Rattus norvegicus: one gene and its partners. The protein of the gene in region 3 interacts with the protein of the main gene of each other region in a pairwise test. Links are inferred from orthologs where the notes say so. Each region holds a gene or a part of one and is shown on either strand. Other genes may lie near its edges.

Region 1 (4,458 bases), on a different chromosome or scaffold from region 3:
GCTGCCTGCTTCACAACCCCTCAGCCGGGCTGACTTAAAGCCTCTGGGCCAGTCATCCCCTCTGCCCTAGAAGCCACGTGGCCTGCTCCATGACCCTCCTCAGGCCTTTGGTGAGCTCATCCTGACTGCTTCGGGTGAAGCTGCAGCCTCCCCTCCCGCAGAGGTTGCTGGGCCTTGCGCAGTGTGTACTTATCCCCAGCGTCTCTGTAGGCCCCTGCGCCTTTGTCTACTGCCTGTCTTCCCTCAGCACGGGGGCTGTGTGAGAACGGCCCTCTGCCTGTTTCACTTCCCAGGATGTCCTAGGCCTCCATGGTGACTCACAGAGCAGGCTGCAATCAACACCTGTCAGTGAGTGAATGAGGGATCTGCACAGCCACTCTGCAGCCACTCTGCAGCCCTTCCTGCACAAAGACCCTTCCCACTGGGAAGACCCTAGGGCCCAGGCGAGCGTCCGCAGCCGCACCTCTGCCCACTTACCTGAAAGTCTTCCTCATCCAAAATCTCCTTCCTCCACTTGATCAAGAAGGCGGCGCACACGTAGAGATGGAAGTGCGAGAAGCCTTCTGGCTCAGACTGAGAAAGAAAAGAAGAGTCAGGCAGGCCTCCGAGCCCCCACTGTGAGCCTCTCCCTTCCCAGCTACCTGCACGGTGGAAAGCCTGGCTAAAACCCCTTATGTGACAGAGATGGGCTTATGAGACTTCCAAAGGCCTCAGCAGACACAGGATGAAGGTGGGCAGAGAGGCTGCACAGGGTGTCGGGCCCAGCAGGGCTGGCTGAAAGGCAGGGGCCCCTCCATACCTGGTAGGTATCCCACAGGCGGATGGTGCAGCGCAGGGGAAGCTCCCGCATCAGCAGGTTGTTCATCCACCGGAAGGCAAACTGCAGGTACTCCACCTCATACCTCCTGAAGTGACTGTGTACCTGCTCTGAAAGTGGCACCAGGTCAGGAGCCACCAGCACGGCCAGGAGCGGGCTCTGTTTCTTACCAGCCCCTCCCCGGTGGGCTGACCTTGGATCCCAACATCTCAGTCCTGCTTGTGGCTGAGGTCAGCACGTGGTGCACGGCGTGGTGCATGGCACGCCATCATCCACCAAGCCATTCCCAGGTGCCCGCTGTCATCCGGGGGCTGCACTGGCCATGAAGACATGAGGTAAACTTGGCTGCGGAGCCTAATTACTCTACAGGGCAAGGCCAGGAACCCTGGAGGCCACCTTGGCCAGCTCCCTTCAGCATCCCTGACAGGTGGCCAGCAGAGGTGGCTTCTTTCTTGTAGGAGGGGACTCACCAGGAGATTATTCTGCAAATTCGGTTGAAACTAGCTGCCACCTGCCACTTGGCTCCTGCCCTGTGTAGCGTCCTGAGCCAGTTGGCCTGGCCTGGTCCCCTATCCTGCATGAGGGCTTGGAGACTAAGGCTCGATGGGTTTTTGTTCCTGATGCTTTAAGATGCATTTGTACTGAATGACATGTAGGCGTGTGTCTGCGTGTGGGCGTGTGCACAAGAGTATCAGAGGCATCAGAGTCCCAGGAGTTACAGACAGCTGTGAGCCACGCCATGTGGGCGCTCAGAACTGAACGTGGGTCCTCTGGAAGAGCAGCAAGGGGCTTGTGACCCACGAGCCACCACTCCAGCCCCGCTGATGGCACGGTTTTAAATCACCATCTTCTCATTTATAAAATGGGACAATCAGAGGCCAGCAAGACGGCTCAATGAGTAAAGGCATCGGCCACCAAGCCTGATGACCTGACCCCTGGAACCCATCTGACTGAAAGAGGTAATGGACTCCTGGGTGTTGTCCTGACTCCCCCTTCCACGTGGTGGCGTGTGTGTACCCCTCCCCAATAACTTTTTTCCTTTCGAGTTTTATTGAGGATAACCCCTCACACTTCAGAGGACTCTGGGGAGGAAAACTGAGAAAGCCGATCTGTAAAATAGTGTCTGACGGCTCAGTCCAGGGCTTCAAGAGGAGCAATGGTTGCTTAGGGGCTGGAATCTAAGGCCTGGGGGCTGTGAACAGCTGTGGGGTTGTTGCTGTTGTATGGTCTTTGTAATGAGAAAGTGCATAAGGTACAAGAGTGTGCTGCACATCTATATAGTGTGGGGGGGTGTGTGAGGGGTGTGTGTGTGTGTGTGTGTGGTGTGTGAGGGGTGTTTGTATGTGTGTGTGTGTGAGGGGTGTGTGTGTGTGTGTGGTGTGTGAGGGGTGTTTGTATGTGTGTGTGTGTGTGTGTGGTGTGAGGGTGTGTGTATGTGTGTGTGGTGTATGTGTGTGTGGTGTGTGGTGTGTGTGTGTGTGTGTGGTGTGTATGTGTGTGTGGTGTGTGTGTGGTATGAGAGGTGTGTGTGTGTGGTGTGAGGGTGTGTGTATGTGTGTGTGGTGTATGTGTGTGTGGTGTGTGTGTGTGTGGTGTGTATGTGTGTGTGGTGTGTGTGTATGTGTGGTGTGAGGAGTGTGTGTATGTGGTATGAGGGTGTGTGCATGTGTGTGTGTGGTATGTGTGTGTATGTGTGTGTATGTGTGTGTGGTGTGTGTGTGTGTGGTGTGAGGAGTGTGTGTGTGTGTGGTGTGTGTATATGTGTGTGTGTGGTGTGTGTGTGTGGTGTGTGTGTATGTGTGTGGTGTGTGTGCGTGTGTGTGTGTGTGTCTGTGTGTGGTGTGTGTGTGGTGTGAGGGTGTGTGTATGTGTGTGTGTGTATGTGTATGTGGTGTGTGTGTGGTGTGTGTGTGTATGTGTATGTGGTGTGTGTGTGTATGTGTATGTGTGTGTGTGGTGTGAGGGGTGTGTATATGTGTGTGTGTGTGGTGTGAGGTATATGTGTGTGGTGTGTGTGTGGTGTGAGGGGTGTGTGTGTGGTGTGTGTGTGTGTGGTGTGAGGTGTGTGTGTGGTGTGTGTGTGTGTGGTGTGAGAGGTGTGTGTGTGTGGTGTGAGGGTGTGTGTATGTGTGTGTGTGGTGTGTATGTGTGGTGTGGTATGTGTGTGTGTGTATGTGTGTGTGGTGTGTGTGTGTGGTGTGAGGAGTGTGTGTGTGTGTGTGTGTTGTGTGTGTGGTGTGAGGGGTGTGTGTGTGGTGTGAGGGTGTATGTTTGTGTGTGTGTGGTGCGTGTGTGGTGTGTGTGTGTGTGTGGTGTGTGTGTGGTGCGAGGGGTGTGTGTGTGTGTGTGTGTGTGTGTGTGTGTGCGTGTGTGTGTAGTCTTGTGGAGGTCAGAGGACAGCTTGCAGTAGTCCGTGTGCTCTGTCTACCATGATGATCAGGTTGGCAGGCTTGGGAGGAAGCATCCTAGCCCAATGTATCAGCTCCACAGCCCAGTGTACACATTTTTTAAAAACCCCACTATTTTTAATCTTCATGCCTTTATTTACCTAGGCCAGAAAAAGAAAAGGGAGGTAGACAGCAGAAGAAACCACTGTCTGTGCCATCTGGAATCCACCTGATGACCAGCCCTGGGGGCCGTTGAGTTCCCCAAGAGGACAGCATGCACCCTATACAAGGCTCAGGGGAATGACAGCCCAGTATGGCGCTGGCGGCTGGGCAGAGTGTAAGGCCCAGAGGGAGAACGATCCATTTACCACGCACAGAACTACTGTGAGGGGCACGTGAGGGAGAGCACCAAGGCCCTAGGTCGTGGAAAGATGAGGGAGCCAAGACAAACCAAGGATGTTCCCACGACCAAGAGAACCTGGGAAAGTGAGAGACCCAACTGTGCAGGGGAAGGAGGGATGGGACAGGAAGTCCCACAGCAGAGGGGGGAGGACACCAATGTTTGGTGCAGTCTTGAAGGCACTCACTGGCCTACAGGATCTCTGGTCACAGGGCCCCTGCTAGGTCCACACTGCAGGGAAGATTAACTCCCAACCTCCTCTGTCCGTCTCTCTGGCCACAGTGTCCTTGTCACTAGGGCTTTCTTTTTTTTTTTTTTTTTTTGGTTCTTTTTTTCGGAGCTGGGGACCGAACCCAGGGCCTTGCGCTTCCTAGGTAAGCGCTCTACCACTGAGCTAAATCCCCAGCCCCATCACTAGGGCTTTCTAAGGTCTTCCTAGGGCCTGACCAGAGCTGGGACGCTCCACTCCTGTAAGCACCAGCTCTCCCCAGATCTCTGCCTCCCAGGGAGCCCCCCCAGGTCCCAGAGGGGTGTTCAAAGTCCCACTAGGGTGTCAGCCAGACTCGGGAGCCTGTGTCAAGCCAGGGATCAGTATGTTACTACATGACGGGCAAGGTCAACTCACAAACTGGATACAAAAGGCAATGAAGGGGAAGTCACTGGCAGCTCTGGAACAGAAGGGCACGGCCAGAACACTGCTGGGAAACCCTCACAGGATGATGGTTTGAAAACACAACAAGCAAGAGAATGTAAGTCCTTCTGGGAGGAAGGTGTCGAGAGCAAATGGCTGGACCTGGGCTGCGGACTGGGAAGGGGAGGGGAGTGACTGGGGCAGAGCTGTCGGGGAACTGAGA
Region 2 (4,284 bases), on a different chromosome or scaffold from region 3:
CAATAAAGAGAAAAGAATGACAGGAATGTAATTGTTGAAGTGCTTGGCGAGGGTATTTTGGTTGTTACTTTGTATGCTAGTTTGTATCGAAGATCATCTCTACATGTGAACAGGCTCAGTGTTGGAAGCTGAAGGAGGAAATTGCAGCAACATTTTCAGTCCTTTAAGGATGCCCAAGAATTTGCCTCCTTTAAAAAAAAGTAATTGGTCATTTTTTATAAAACATCTTTACTTGGTTAATTTTTCCAGGTAAAGGCCATAAAATTATTTCTCACGCCAGAAGACGCGGATGATCCTGTCAATAAAGCAAAGAAATACTTCCTCCAAACTGGTATGTAGGTTTCTTTACAGCTGCGGATGCCGCTGATGTTCTATTGGATGTCCATAACTCTCCTTTCGAAACTCCCAGACCCCAGCAGCTTGCTGGCTTATTTGATCTTTGGTGATTGGTAGTTTTTATTTACCAGTCTTCTGAATTAGATTAACACTTTCCTAAAGGAAGGGGTCCGGTCAGCCCCTCCTGTTGACCAGAGGTTCGTTTGCTCTTTCTTATTTTTCAAGGAAAATAAAATCTAAAAAAAAAAAAAGAAAGAAAGAGAAAAGCAAGCCTTTTCAAGTATCATCGGGCTTAACCAGTACTACTCCATGTCTCCACAAAGGACTGCCTTTCATTTAGGCTGCTCGAAAAGGCATCCTGCGGGTAGCTCTGCCGTGGAAGTGGCTACGAGCTGATTTGTTCTTCGTTTCAGAGGACGCTAAAGGCACGCTTTCACTGATGCCCGAGTTCCGGGTTCGAGAGCGCGCGCTGCTGGAGTCCTTGCATCGCTTTGGCGTGACGGAGGAAGGCTGCGTCCAGGCCTGGTTCTCCTTCCCCCATTCCATGCGTATATTCTACATCCACGCATACAGTAGCAGGATTTGGAACGAGGCAGCGTCGTACAGACTGGCAGCCTACGGACCCAAGGTGGTGAAGGGGGACCTGGTCTGCTTGGATGAAGATGCGGACGAGCATCTTCCAAGCAGTAAAGTGAGTACCGGCCACGGAGGTGACTCGCCGCACCAGAGACAGCAATTCCGTTTGCTGGTTTCCGGCTTGACTTTTCTGACAGCCAAGGGTTGCTAAGTGTAGAAACAGTGGCACAGAGTGAAAGGTGGCAAGGCTTTCATTAAAGAGCACACTTCCAAACACACACACACACACACACACACACACACACAGACACACACACACACACACACACACACACACACACACACACACACACACACACACCTGTACGTGTAATGCACAGATCTGTCCTCTTAAAAACAAGAATGAACCGTCCAGAGCTGGCTTGCCCACACACCCCAACTAGGCGTGCTCTGTCCCTGGCCTCCTCGGCCAGCATGTGTCTCTCTGCTTTCCCCGAAAGAAAGTTCTTTGATGGTGCTATGAGGATATGACACATTGTAAAATTGTTAGGTTTTAGGGGAAAAGGATTTCAGATATCTGGTTCTTTAACTCTCATTCTATAGGAATGAGAGCTGATGCCCAGGTGGGAAGTTTCGGAAAAATTCAGAACCGCCAAGGTAGTGTGCCTAAAAAGACCCAGGAGTCTAGGTGGGTCTCCTGAGGAGGAACCAGAATGTAGATCTAGTAGTCAGTTAATAAAGATACATCACAGCCCAGCACTTCAAAACGTGAGGGAAGGTCGACTCTGAGCTTTGCCTAAAGAAAGCTTCACCTAGATTAATGCTGGGCTCCCTATATACGAATAATTTGAGGTAATAGAGATCTACCTTGGGCTAATTAAAAGAGAACCCAGCATGAATTTATCGGCCCTATGTCTGAAACCCATGATTTATTCAGGCACCGTCCGTGTCTCTGCAAGAGTGGCAAGGGCTGCTCACAGCTGAGCATCTCTCCAGCCAAGGACTGTGTGTTCTGTGACGCTCTGAGCAGAGCTTTTCAAACGTAATACATCGCACACCACCTTCCTTCTCTTCCCGTCTCTGAAGCCTACAACCGTTCTCTGGAACAAATACTGGCAAACGGCTGGGTAAACTATGGCCGTGTTTCCTGGGGACGGGGTGGTTGAAGGCAGGGCTGGCTCTGTAGAAGCAGATGTTCAGTTCGGCATAATTCGTGGGTGACAGAAGAAGTGCTGTCGGGAGGCAGCCACGGTTGCAGCTCGCTCGCTCGCTCGCTCGCTTGCTCGCTCGCTTCTGCACTGTGAGGTCGATGCAGAAAGGATTGGCCTGTTTTTGTGTCGTGGGCTTCTCTGGAGACAAGCGATTATAAAGAGACGGTGTTTGAGCATGTGTATATTCAGTGTGTGGGCCAGAGTCAGGGATCAGTGAGGTAATCTCAGCATTTGGGAACCACTCATTTCTGTCGTATATTTTTTTCTTTTTTATAAAACTAGGTTCACCTGGTGACCGAGGAAGAGGAGTCAGCTGACACATATGCACTGCACCAGGTAAACGTGATCAGAAGTCACTGTCACTTAGATTTTAAATAAGCATTGTCTGCTAGAGACAAATCTGACCCTCCCTTCTTAGGTAACTTTTAGATTAAGTAATGCTTTATATCCTAATAATTTATGCTTCTTTAATGAATTTATGCTTATAAGAGATTGTTTATGCTACCATTTACGTCCTAATAATTTAACTTATGCTTCTTTTTTAAAAAAAGATTTATTTACTTTTTTAATGTATATGAATACACTGTAGCTGTCTTCAGACACACCAGGAGAGGGCATCAGACCTCATTACACATGGTTGTGAGCCACCCACCGTGTGGTTGCTGGGACTTGAACTCAGGACCTCTGGAAGACCAGTCAGTGCTCTTAACTTCTGAGCCATCTCTCCAGCTCCAACTTGCTTCTGATAAACACATATAGTCATGCGTACAGTGACTATGTGTTCATGTCTCCCTCCAGGGTTTCCCACTGTCAGACCATCAATCCTACCTCCAGGGTTGCATTAATCCTGACTCACGAGAGTCACTGATTTACTCTTTTTATTTCATTTTACTGCGCTCTACCCCTGGGGGCGGGGGGAGAGGATATCACATGAATAGTGTCACATGGTATCTGTGTGACCTTCATTGAATCTATAGCCCAGCTTCTAAGTCTGTAGGCTGTGACCCTATGTCGGAATGTGGGAGCCGGGTAAACATCTGTAGCAGCACAAGGTTTCTGAGCGCGCACTGACAGAAAGCTAAGCTGAAACCCAAGTGCGTAACACACCCAAGGTATCTGTAGAAGCGTTTGCCAGTGTTGCATCATGTGGCCTCACTGCAGGCCAGGCTCTGCATGGCAACACATGTAACTTTGCACCGTGAGCGCTGCATGCTCAGCCGTGCAGATGGTGAGGGTGATGATGATGGTGATTGTGGTGGTGGTGGTGATGATGATGATGGTGGTGATGATAATGGTGATGGTGATGAGGGTGACGAGGGTGATGGTGAAGGTGGTGATGATGATGGTGGTGATGAGGGTGTGAAGGTGATGATGGTGATGGTGGTGGTGATGATGATGGTGATGAGGGTGGTGATGGTGATGAGGGTGATGAGGGTGATGGTGATGATAATGATGGTGGTGATGAGGGTGATGAGGGTGATGGTGATGGTGGTGATGGTGGTGATGATGTGATGGTGATGAGGGTGATGATGGTGATGAGGGTGATGATGGTGATGAGGGTGATGATGGTGATGAGGGTGATGAGGGTGATGATGGTGATGAGGGTGATGATGGTGATGAGGGTGATGAGGGTGATGAGGGAATGAGGGTGATGAGGGTGATGATGGTGATGAGGGTGATGATGGTGATGAGGGTGATGAGGGTGATGGTGATGAGGGTGATGGTGGTGATGAGGGTGATGAGGGTGGTGAGGGTGATGAGGGTGGTGAGGGTGATGGTGATGAGGGTGGTGATGGTGATGATGGTGATGGTGGTGATGATGATGATGGTGATGATGGTGATGAGGGTGGTGAGGGTGATGGTGATGAGGGTGATGGTGGTGATGATGACGTCACCTGAACACCTCAGCTCAGATTCCAGACTATCACACATTAGCAGTTGTAGGTTTTAGTGCACATATAAAATTTCCTGTTTTTTTTTTTTTTTTTTAAAAAAAAAAAACAAATGGCTTACTTCTGGAAAACAGACTTAATATTTTTTTCTGTCATCATCCATCAGCATGTAAATATCAAATTAATGTATGCTTGTGCCATATTGTATTAGAATGCTTGATTTTAAAAATTGCCGTATTGGCTGTTGACTTTTAAGAACAACCGTTAGA
Region 3 (5,053 bases):
CTTTTACTGGAAGTGTGCTGAATTATTTGAGCCTGGAGTTTCAAAAGGGCAGGTAGGAGAATGGAGGCTTGGGTGAGCAAGACTTGTTAGTGCCTCGGATTTCTTGTCCCAAGGGAAAGAACCGAGCAGAATCCAATGAAGTGATGCTCTGGATACAGAAATTCCCTGTCCAGACACTGAGTCAATCCCAAAGGAGAGTAGGAAAGGCCACGGCAGAAGTGACAGGGCACAGAACTGCAAATCTATTCTGTGATAAGAAGCTAGCCTACAAGACCTCCTCGGGTCGTCGCAGAATTCTCAATTGGGCAGAAACAAGCAAGTTTTAGGTTCTACTCAATGCCGTTCAATGCACTGGACACTTCATTTAAACTAATGGATAAAAATCTTTATGGCTCAAGCTGTGTTTTAAAAAGTTTAACTCACGGATGGGGAAAATTCCTGAAAGCAACAGTGTATGGGGGCTCAAGGAAGACACTGAAACAGACTGCTGGGAGTAAGAACTTTATTAGCGCCATAGGCAGATAGGCGGTGGACAATCAGAATTTCTGGCCGCGCCACAGGCGCCAGGGGGAGGTGGGGGCTGGGGAGTGTTCGAGAATGAAGCCCACGTGGCAGAATCAGGGTCGTTTCTTCTAGGGTCTCATAGGAACCCGCGGCCAGGCTCCTTCCTCAGCAGGTGGTAGGGAAGAAGTGTGTCATCAAGTAGCTCTTTGATATGTCTGGTCTGGCTACTTCACTTGAGGAAGTGAGAAACTGGGCACCAGAGGAGCCTGTTAAGAAGTTAGGGACTCACAAGCGGGCTCTCGGTGAGGCAGCTCCCTAGTAGCCGGAAGGCTAGAGAGAAGGGGAAGGACTTCAGTAGGTATCAGGGTCTGGTGAGCACTCTGGTCTGGATTCTATCAATCCCCCATTTCACGCGAGAAGAAAATGAGGCTCGGAACGATAAACAAACTTACTTTAGGGTGGAAGTAGAAGTGGGCTTCTCCATTTCTGCCACTGAGAAAAGTTGCTGATAATAAAACCTTTTTCTGGCGATTATTATCGCCTGGAGTTGGGTGTGTTTCAGAGTGCTTCACACACTGGGAGGGGCTTAGCTGGTCTCTCAGCCCAGTTTTCCGGCACTTATGCAAAGCCACCTTGCATTTAAAGGAGCCAAGGCCTAGGCACTAAGAAGACACCCGGCAAAGGACTACGGATCCACCAAAGCTTAGAGTATCCCGACCCCACTGCCAGGGACACCCTGCTCCCACTGCAAAGGGCAACCACCACCGACTCCCGGGCTGGGTACCGGGGCTCCAGGACTGCGCCGAGGAAACCCGCCTTCCCGCCCCGGAGGAGAGCGGCGCGGGAAGCCAGGCCCCGCCCCCGGCCCACCTCTTCCGCTCGGCCCTTAGGAGTCTGCGCGGCCCTGGGATCCCTTCCGACGCGGCCACGTTGCCCGGTGAGCCATCCTGCAGCGCCGGGTTCCCGACACCCCTCTGCTCGGCTCTCAGCCGGGCCCTGGGGCCCAGGCCTTCCCGCGCTGTCCGTGAGGTGCAGCTGTGCGGGGACGGGTCTGGCCGCCCCAGAGCTCCGCACGCGTCTAGGATCCCCGCGCCGGAGGCCCCACCCCGCTCCGGATCTGAGAAGCCGAGAGAGAGCGCCGGGCTCTGCCAGAGCTCGGCTCCGGGCTCATGCCCTGCGGCCCAGCCGGCTCGCGCCATGGCCTCAGGGAGCGTGGCCGAGTCCCTGCAGCAGGAGACCACCTGCCCCGTGTGTCTTCAATACTTTGTGGAACCCATGATGCTCGACTGCGGCCACAACATCTGTTGCGCGTGCCTGGCCCGCTGCTGGGGTGCCGCGGAGACTAACGTGTCGTGCCCGCAGTGCCGGGAGACCTTCCCGCAGCGCCACATGCGGCCCAACCGGCACCTGGCCAACGTGACCCAGCTGGTGAAGCAACTGCGCACCGAGCGGCCGTCGGGGCCGGACGGCGAGATGGGCGTGTGCGAGAAGCACCGCGAGCCTCTGAAGCTGTACTGCGAGCAGGACCAGATGCCCATCTGCGTGGTGTGCGACCGCTCGCGCGAGCACCGTGGCCACAGCGTGCTGCCGCTGGAGGAGGCTGTGGAAGGCTTCAAGGTAGGGCCGGGCCGGCGGACAAAGAGGAGAGCCGGGGGCTTCCTGGTTTGCCGCCGAGAAAATGGCGAGCCGGACGTGGGGCCCACCGCCGTCATTTCCTCCCTGTCGGCTGCGGAGCCTCCGCGCTCAGACTCGGAAGGAGAACCTGTAGCTGGCGAGGCCAGAGGCGTCCCCACCCCCACCCCTTCTCCGAGCGCCCCCTGTTAACTGCCTCAACGCGTGCCGCGGCTGGGACGGCGCGAGGAGACCCTCCCTTGACAAAGGAGATGCACATGGAGCCATGTCCACTTCCATAGGCCTTGAACACCTCGAACTTGCTCTGGCCCAGGATATCAAACCAGACAGCCCCTGTTGGCTGGCCGAATTCACATCGACCGATGCCTATCACTTAATCTAAGCCCCCAGCGCTTCCCTGTAACCTGTTTTAGAACCTAATGGAAATGAACAGAGCTCTTTACTGCTTGAGTAAATCATTTAGCCACTCTCAGACTCGGGAGATAACTTAATGAAGAGGAAGTGAACTCACAGGACCTGAAGAGGCCTTTGTTGAATAAACACTGGCACAGCTACACAGTAATTCGAAAATGTTACATATAAAGTAACTCTCAAGTGATAATGAGTCTGTTTTGAGGACTGCAGGGATATGTACCAACAGTTAGATTTGTTTAAATGTGAGTTCATCCAAATGTCAGTCACGTTTACAAAGCTGTATCATTTCACTCACTGGAAATAAAGTTGTAATTTAGTAATGCTTACCAGTTCTGTGCATGAGGAAAATAAATCATTTTTTTCTGTATTCGTCTGAGGAATAGCTTACCTTTTGAGCCTCTTTACCCAGATGTCTCATAACCTGTGCAGAATGCTTCTAGGAACTGGTAGGTGGCTTGAGTTTAACAAATTTCTAAAACAGCTGTGCTGGACCCTGTGCTTTAGGCTCTTCCCAGGAATGGCACTGTGGTCTGAGGACAGAGTCCAGCCCGGCCTTGGCATCTGTAGTTTGGGTTCCTGTGTCATAAGCAGAGTAGCTATTTTGATGCTGAGATCTGCAAAATTCTGAATTGGCTGACTGTTTACTTTCTTCAGGAGCAAATCCAGAATCGGCTGGACCACCTAAGAAGAGTGAAAGACTTGAAGAAGAGACGGAGGGCACAGGGGGAGCAGGCACGAGCTGAGCTCCTGGTAAGGGTCCAGGTCTCCAGCCTGCAGAGAGGCATTGCATCAGGATAGCCTTGGCAAGGGTGTAATGAAAACTTCTAAGCAGAGCATTTCCCCTTGGTGTCTGTCATTCCTATCATTTAGCTCCATCCTGTCTCTGAGTGAGTGCGATCTTGACACCTCTTGCTTGAAAACAGGATGAAGAAACTTCTCAGTGATCTTGTGTAGACTAAACTTAAACATACAATGTATCATATCAGCTTTGGGAGGATTTTCCAGAGAGAAATACTTGTGCCAGTGTGTCAGTCACACTGCTTTGGATATACTCAGTAAATTGATCTTTAGCCTTAATTTTGTCTAAGGTTATATTGTATACTTTATACCTTTGAAAGACTTATCCAGGTTAAAAGAGGTATAAGGGGCCCTTGGAACAGTTGAATTCAAGTCAGATTTTAGCAAACTTTCTGAAAGGGGCCAGTAATAAGTATTTTTAGCTTTGTTAATTTACACAAGCTAAATCACAACACCTCAGTCATTGCATCTCAAAAACAGCCATGTCTAATACATAAATGAGTGGGTTTGGCTGGATTCAAGTAAAATCTTTCTTGACTGCTCTAGAGCCATTTTGCTGACCATTTGTTTATTCAGAAATAGTTTCACTATGCAATCCAGGATGGTCTTGAACTCTCCATATTCCTGCCTTAGTCTCCCCAAGTGCTGGAATTATAGTATGCACTGCCACACTTGGTTTATAATCTTAGAACTCTAGGTTTTTTAGGATGTCTTAGGTAGCCCCAGTTGATCTTAAGTTCATTATATAGTTAAGAGTGATCCTGAAGTTCCAGTCTTGCCTTGTCTGCCTTCCAAGTGCTAGGAATGCAGGCATGGAGGAATTAGAAATGTAGGAAAGATAGACAAACCAATAGAAACATTGTATGGAGAGGAACCCATAAGCACCCCCTAAAAAATCAGGGCATGGATTACTTACTGAGACCAAGTAAACACATCCAGGAAACTTGTGCTTGCTCGATCATACCAGGTCATGTCCACAGAGTGCACACCTAACCCTGCCATTTCACTGTGATTGTTTCATGACTCCGCCTGCCAGGCAAGATGTTCATGGGCTCCAGTCATGTAGAACAATGCCTTTTCTCCCCACTTTATTGCCTGTGCCATTTGCTCAGCCTAGACAGCCTGTCTAGTTTATGCTTACATGGCATTCTACAAGACCTGTGCAAACATGGACTTTAGGAAGACAGTTGAGTTTCAGTGTCTTTACCTATCCGTGGATGAACCTGACCCTGATTTGACTGGGTCCCTTAAGATTAGAGACTGTTTATTAATTAAGATTTGAAGTAATTCAGTCCGTGGTCGGCACGTGTCTGTGTAGACTGGAAAGTGAGTGGGTGAGCATAGTGTCTGTTTTCATGTAACTTGAAATGGTGAGATCTTTGGGTTAAGTCATGGGGGTTATTTTGAAGGATTCTAACAGTGAGCCTTTCCTATTCTTACCTTTGCTTGTCATTTACAGAGCCTGACCCAGATGGAGAGGGAAAAAATTGTTTGGGAGTTTGAGCAGCTGTATCACTCTTTGAAGGAACATGAGTATCGCCTGTTGGCTCGCCTTGAGGAGCTAGACTTGGCCATCTATAATAGCATCAACGGTGCCATCACTCAGTTCTCCTGCAACATCTCCCACCTCAGTGGCCTGATTGCCCAACTGGAAGAGAAGCAGCAGCAGCCCACGAGGGAGCTCTTGCAGGTAACCAGGAGAGCG

Evidence for each region.
Region 1: the proteins of Trim27 (region 3) and Tbc1d22b interact in binary tests that used the Homo sapiens proteins (3 or more experiments, as listed by UniProt). The link is inferred for Rattus norvegicus from reciprocal best matches to the Homo sapiens genes TRIM27 and TBC1D22B.
Region 2: the proteins of Trim27 (region 3) and Pus7l interact in binary tests that used the Homo sapiens proteins (3 or more experiments, as listed by UniProt). The two-hybrid records come from large-scale screens. The link is inferred for Rattus norvegicus from reciprocal best matches to the Homo sapiens genes TRIM27 and PUS7L.

What each region holds. Positions count from the first base shown.
Region 1 is NC_086038.1:7,665,334-7,669,791, reverse strand, and holds part of Tbc1d22b (TBC1 domain family member 22B), read right to left. Parts: intron 928-4,458; coding exon 800-927; intron 574-799; coding exon 478-573; intron 1-477. UniProt on the Homo sapiens protein: May act as a GTPase-activating protein for Rab family protein(s).
Region 2 is NC_086025.1:127,541,145-127,545,428, reverse strand, and holds part of Pus7l (pseudouridylate synthase PUS7L), read left to right. Parts: intron 1-249; coding exon 250-331; intron 332-749; coding exon 750-1,027; intron 1,028-2,405; coding exon 2,406-2,459; intron 2,460-4,284. UniProt on the Homo sapiens protein: Pseudouridine synthase that catalyzes pseudouridylation of mRNAs.
Region 3 is NC_086035.1:48,242,706-48,247,758, reverse strand, and holds the start of Trim27 (zinc finger protein RFP), read left to right. Parts: upstream 1-1,701; coding exon 1,702-2,121; intron 2,122-2,653; exon of another isoform or gene 2,654-2,792; intron 2,793-2,858; exon of another isoform or gene 2,859-2,996; intron 2,997-3,204; coding exon 3,205-3,300; intron 3,301-4,807; coding exon 4,808-5,038; intron 5,039-5,053. Other genes in the region: uncharacterized protein LOC134482717, read right to left, coding at 734-770, 1,375-1,703. UniProt on the Homo sapiens protein: E3 ubiquitin-protein ligase that mediates ubiquitination of various substrates and thereby plays a role in diffent processes including proliferation, innate immunity, apoptosis, immune response or autophagy.